Linked DNA regions of Drosophila melanogaster. Changing the gene in region 2 together with the main gene of any one other region gives a genetic interaction. Each region holds a gene or a part of one and is shown on either strand. Other genes may lie near its edges.

Region 1 (3,323 bases), on a different chromosome or scaffold from region 2:
ACCGCGCTTCACGCCCATGGCAGCTCCAAGATCCGCTCGACTGGGGGTGTAGGTATAGGGGATGCCCTTCTCCTCGCAGACGGCTGGTAAGTGGCACATGATGTCCACAGGTGTAACGTCGCCAGCAAAGATGCAAATGCTGGAGAAGATGTGGGTATATTTCTTGTTGTCTTGCAGTCACGGATCACGCAGCACTTACCCAGTTTCGCCCTTGCGCAGGCGAGTCTGTACATCCTTAAGTCCATTTCGCAGGAAAGTCTTGTGCTTCATGGCCTTCTTCACCAGTTTGTAGCACTTTTTGGCCAGTTTTTTACCTGCCATCGGTTTCGCGATGGCGTTCACAAAGATCAGCTTGTCGTCGTAGGACTCCTCCTCCTTGATGGTAACATCGCCGCTGGCCACAACGGACTCATCGGCATCCTCGGAGCGCTCTACTTTCACTTTGCCCATTGCTTTTTTGATAAAAACGTGGATATTTTGTTTAAACGGCTTTTTGTTCGAAACACGTGTTCAGTGTGACCGCGGATCGACTTTTGAAGCATACTAGCGTGCCGCAAAAATATACTAAAATAAATACCGTTCAGACATGGATTAATGCGACTTACTCTATGGTTTGTGACTTTACTAATGTTTTTAGCTAAGTTCATACACTGAGAAAAATTATTACTTAATGTTAAATGAATATTAAATTAAAAATAGAGTTCCAATCCCAAGCCCCAATCACCGCGCAAAAATACTTCAAGACCACATTAAACATTTATTAAAATCTCACATACAAATTCAAATCCACATGACATAAAACAGTTTAAAATTAGCAGAAATCCTACAGGATATAAAATCAGAAGAATTGCTTGGCCAGTTGGATAATATTCATGGCCAATCGGATCTCCCGGGCGCCGCGAACGCCCAGTGCCGCCAAGTCCTCCAGGGTCATTTGGATGAGCACCTCGATGTCGATCTCCTGGCGCGTGAACAGCTCTGTGAGATGCGCGTTTCCGGTGCGATCGAGCAGGGATTTGACCCGAGGACTCAAAGTGGGGTGCTCCACCGGGGAGCAGGGCTTATAGCGTGAATGATGGATACTGGGAGTGGGACTTCTTGGGTCCTCCACTTTAATCTTTCGCGCACTTTTCAACTTGGATTCCTCCTGCCTCAGCCGCGTTTCCTGCTGCAGTCGGATATCCGGCTTTGGTCTGTCTTCTCTCTTAGTTCTCAGTAGTTTCGAATCTCCAGATTCTCCCAGTAGCCTGGTCTCCCCATTTATAAGGGTACTTTGACTTGTGGGCGAAAATACGGAACGCGTGCGCATAAATTTCTGTGAAAATCGACGGGGCAAAGTGGATTCCGATAGTCGTTTTAACCCGGACAATGCCGGTCGACTGTTAGGAACCGTAAGATTATTGTTCTTCGGCATTCCAAAGAGTCCGTATCTCGCGGTACCCTTCCTGCCAACGCCTCCAGTGGGCGTGACATCTTCGAATGTAAAAGCTTCGGTGGAGAGGGGAGTGAGTGGGGTCAGTGGGGATGCGGGATCTATTGAAAGTTAAAGGATATATTTTAAACTTGTTTACAAAAGTATTAGCAATACTACCTCTATAGACGCGATTGTAGCGCTCCATTCGGTAATTTTACAAATAATATTTTCCACGAGCACAAAAAAGACGACAAAAAAAAACGTGCAATAAGATTTGCAAAATGCAACTAACTGTAATTAACTGCTTTTTTAATGCGACCGCATTAAGAGCGGTTAAAATTACCGAAAATTCTGTGATCAGGCAACTCATAAAATCCTAGTCATAGAACCATGATCAGTGCTGAAAAACGATCCTTAAAAATAGATCATATAATGAGTTTTTAAGATCTAAATTACAATATGTATATTTCTTTTCAAGAAAATAAATTTCAACAACAGTCACAACTATCACAAAGTGCTTAAAAATATGATATAAGAATTATGCCTAATAACTAATTGTAAACTACAATAGTAAAAATAATTCATAAAAAACTCGAGAGTTTAGAAACTATATAAAAATGTGTTTTGTTTCTGTTAAGGTTTTTGTGCCTGTTTATAATTGATTAAGAATAAACGTTAATCTGGCACATTAGAATATTCATATCCATGTTTTTTTGCTATTGTTAAATCTCTGACTTTACCCTCGTGATTTGGGTGAAATAAATAAATTAGAATAAAAGTTCAAGGAACTCGCCACGCATTAATATTTACCATTTCACATGTCTAAGTACCAAATATCGTTTTTATACCGTCTACATAATATTATTTTGCTTCTAATTAAAGCGAGTTTGTCCAGTTTTTCAGTCGTTACTTTTGCGGTGCGATTTGATTTGATTTGCTTCGGTTTTTGCGTCGAAGTTTTTGCGACAAATCTTTTTTTTGCGAATTGGCAGTCAACAGATGAACCGATAAAATGTAAACAATTGTTGCACAAAACGTGCAAATTAATTTAACGAAAATAATCAATTAAGTTAATTTAATGACGCCGAAAATTCACAATTCTTGCGTGCAATAATGACAATATTCATAAAGAGCACTTGGAGTAAAAATTGACAATTTTTTTTATGAAAATGCCTAACCATAAAACATAAAAAATTTTACATTTTGTTATAAAATTTGCACAGTAATTTATTACTTCAATAGTCGTTTGCTGTGCAAATTAATGTATTTATTGAAAAATACTTTTTCATGTCATCTGATAATCATTTAAACATATATTAATTGTTTCGCTATGCATGAAAAAGAAAATATTACAGCTAAATACTAATTTAAACAAATTAATAGTTAGGAAACTGTAATATTGTATTGGTTATGCTCTAAAATATAAATACATTTTATTTTTGTCAAATGCTTAGCGTGCACTTCTTACTATATAATATATTTTTTTTATGAAACCTTAAGTAAGGCTTACTTACTAAAGATTCGGAACCATTTTCAAAACCAGTGACTTCAGATAAATAGATATCTATATTTATCTATGTATGTAAAGATATATTATTTTGTGTACTGTGAAATCATGACATTGCCACCTGTTAAAGCCCCACAGATATTTTGGCGCTGCTGCTGCTGTTGTTTGGGTTTTAGGCGCTTACCTTGCTTTATTTGGTTTTTCGTGGGCAAGAACAACATGGAATTATTGTCTTTGCGCAGTCGGCAATGCCGAAGCTTTGCAAACCCCCCACCCCCCCTGGCGACCAATAAACTCCCCCCTTTCGGCTAAGTTGGCCACATGTGGGGCTTGTTGTTGCCGGCTTTTGGCTAAGAAACAGCTGAGCTCGGCCAGCTGCTTTGTGTTTATATTTTTTTCACG
Region 2 (3,279 bases):
CCTCCACCTGATAGTAATCAACGTCCATTTTGGAGTGCTTCAAGATTGAAGTGTTGTCCCAAACCATCTTGGGATTCTTGCGTAGGTGAAGCGGAAAACGCAGGCCCACCGTGACATTAATCGGAAGCTCATTTATGTCGCTGAAGCTGTCATCAAACTCAATGCCCACGTAGCCATATGTATCCTTTCCTATCAGCGCTTTATTCAATTCAGATGCGCTGGCAAAGGCCTTACTGCCAACGGCCTTCAGATCGTGAACCACATCCTCGATGACAGCAGCCAAGACTAGATTCTCAGGTGAGTAGTAAATGTACCTGGTTGGTTCATGTGGTGTTGTCAGGGTGGCCTGGACTATTGTGGCAATCGGCTTATACATACGGCACTTTGGTTGTGATGTTGACGGGCGGGTACTTCACCGACGTCTCCTCTTGCGGCTCTCGGAACAAAGCCGTCGCCGCATAAACGAGGAAGACTACGATGGGCCCCACAATGATGATCACGCTGGTTAGCGTATTGGAGAACTGGAAGCGGGCCGTCTTGCATATGACCAGCCACAGCAGGCATATGCTGCTCTGCGTCTTCACCGGCGATTCACCACTGGACATATTCGTACAATTTAGATGACGCCAACACGTAAACAGATTAGAAATATAACAAACTTCACGTATACTCCGCACTAAAACGTTCCGGCTTCCGTGTTTTCTTTTATTTTGTGGTTGATGTGAAAATTAAAGTCGAATCGGAAATCCGTTCCGGCAGGGAACGCTGCTAAGCTTACTTCTTCTTGGACACACCCACGGTGCGACCACGACGACCGGTGGTCTTGGTGTGCTGGCCACGCACACGGAGGCCCCAGTAGTGACGCAGACCACGGTGGGAGCGGATCTTCTTCAGACGCTCCAGATCGTCACGCAGCTTCGAGTCCAAGTTGGAGGAGGTCAGCTGCCAGTACTTGCCATCGATGATGTCCTTCTGCCTGTTGAGGAACCAGTTGGGCACCTTGTACTGCAGAGGGTTCGAGATGATGGTCACCACCTTGTCGACCTGCAAACATGGCATTTAGGTTGGTGTGCGTCTCGAACGGATTGGGCGTGCTCAACTTACCTCCTCCTCGGTGCACTCACCGGCGCGCTTGGTAAGATCGACATCGGCCTTCTTCAGCACAATGTTGGAGTAGCGGCGACCCACTCCCTTGATGGCGGTCATGGCGATGCCAACCTTGCGCTTGCCGTCGATGTTCGTATTCATGATACGCAGGATGTGCTGGAACTTCTCTGGGATGACGAGCGACTGCAAGAATGCAAAGAAAAAACATTAGTATAATGCATATAAACCACGCCATTTTTGCCAACAGCTAACGGCATTTGCAATTCACTATAAATTTGTCGTTTGGCGCTCAGAATCGCACATATTTGAGGTAACTCACCATTTTGCCGTTTGTATTCTCGTATTTACTCCTCACTGTAAAGAATTAAGAGGTATTTTGTTTTAGAATTTTGGAAAAATCAAATGGGCAGCACACCACTCACCGGAAACGGGAAAAGAAAAGAAGGCCGAATTAATGTGGCTGCCTGAGGCGGAGTAAAAAACCTAAAATTGCCTGCCACGTTCGGGACGCGTGCTGTTAATAGTTCGCCGTGTGCTGTTAGGCGCACTCTGGTCCATCACTAATGCAAATTTAAAAATTCAAAAGGCGCCGAACTTTTGTTCAATGAAAATGCTTAAAGTGCCATTTAGATATGCTCTGTGTGCACATTTAAAAAATTAAACTTCATATTTTATGTTTCTTTATATTTTATATTTTATTCCCCACATTTCGTAATACGTTTTATCGTACTGCATCCCTAGAGCACCGTTATATGAAAGCTTTTCAGAATGGGTGAAATAAATGGTAAATTATATTAGCTATGCGAATTTCCAATATTGATAAAAATGCATTGCATTTAAGCACTCAGCTGCGTTGGACAGGACGATGTCGTTTCCCTGCGCATCGTGTGCACCATGGCTCGCGACGGCAAGCAGCACAACCTCGAGGATGTGGACATGTACGGGAATACCGCCCTATTGAAGGCCTGCTATTTGGGTCGATTTGAGTGCGCTCGTACGCTGCTGGAATTCGGTGCAAATATCTTTGCTATGAACTATTTTGGTCAAAATGCCCTGACACTGGCCACTTATGCTGGGCATTTGACTTTAGTAAAGGAACTGTTGAGGCGAAGATCCTACAAGGATTTCAATCTGTCCTCGATGATCCCGGCCCTCTGTGTGGCTACACTGCAAAAACACTCCGCTTTGGTGGCCTATTTTACTCAATTGGATTCGAGGGGCGTGCAAGAAACTCAAACAGTGCATGGTTAGTAAAAATCAAGTGTATTTATATAGTAACATTAAAGTAAATTTATTTCAGGTCTGGGAGTTGCAGAGCTGCGAGGAATGATTAAAGCTGCAGGCCGCTTAGATAAGCGCAATGTGCGCTCTCCTCCCACTTTTATTAGCAATCGTCTGCGTTAATGTATTGTCATTTTGTAATAATTTATTAATTTTAATGTTTGAAATAAATATACTCTGTAAAAAGTGTGAACATAATATGTTAATCAAACCAGTTGGCAGGCCGCTCGCTGGCTGCTATCGATAGATTCAGTCGATATCGCCCGTGGCTTTTCACATCCCTATCCCGCTCATTTAGCCCGCCTGAAAGTAAAAAAAAAAAACAGCCCACGTTAATCATTCATCCCAAAGTCACAGCCGCGGTAACATTACTGCTGTTAAATTCTTAAGCCCGTCATCAGTATTTAAATAATAAAACACATTCAATATGTTCGAGGCACGCCTGGGTCAAGCCACCATCCTGAAGAAGATCTTGGATGCCATCAAGGATCTGCTCAATGAGGCAACCTTCGATTGCAGCGACTCCGGCATTCAGGTAAAAATTGCACAAAAAAGATTTTAAATGCATATCCCTAACACCTTGTTCAACTTACAGCTACAGGCCATGGACAACTCCCATGTGTCGCTTGTCTCGCTGACCCTGCGTTCCGATGGCTTCGACAAGTTTCGCTGCGACCGCAATCTCTCCATGGGCATGAATCTGGGCAGCATGGCCAAGATTCTGAAATGCGCCAACAACGAGGACAATGTGACGATGAAGGCGCAGGATAACGCCGACACTGTCACCATCATGTTCGAATCGGCTAACCAGGAGAAGGTATCGGACTACGAGATGAAACTGATGAACCTCGACCAGGAGCACCTGGGCATACCGGAGACAGACTTCTCGTG

The links.
Region 1: of plu (region 2) and gnu, changing one suppresses a phenotype caused by changing the other (phenotypic suppression), as found in Drosophila melanogaster (one study listed by BioGRID).

Annotation. Positions count from the first base shown.
Region 1 is NT_037436.4:14,801,641-14,804,963, forward strand, and holds gnu (giant nuclei), read right to left. Parts: upstream 1,721-3,323; 5' UTR 1,620-1,720; coding exon 1,592-1,619; intron 1,534-1,591; coding exon 839-1,533; 3' UTR 740-838; downstream 1-739. Other genes in the region: NHP2, read right to left, coding at 1-139, 200-450.
Region 2 is NT_033778.4:20,262,258-20,265,536, reverse strand, and holds plu (plutonium), read left to right. Parts: upstream 1-1,852; 5' UTR 1,853-1,875; coding exon 1,876-1,891; intron 1,892-1,948; coding exon 1,949-2,353; intron 2,354-2,407; coding exon 2,408-2,511; 3' UTR 2,512-2,579; downstream 2,580-3,279. Other genes in the region: CG8908 (uncharacterized protein), read right to left, coding at 1-314, 379-605; RpS18 (ribosomal protein S18), read right to left, coding at 775-1,044, 1,105-1,290, 1,427-1,429; PCNA (proliferating cell nuclear antigen), read left to right, coding at 2,816-2,923, 2,984-3,279. UniProt on the Drosophila melanogaster protein: Inhibits DNA replication early in developments. May bind and block the action of a replication or initiation factor.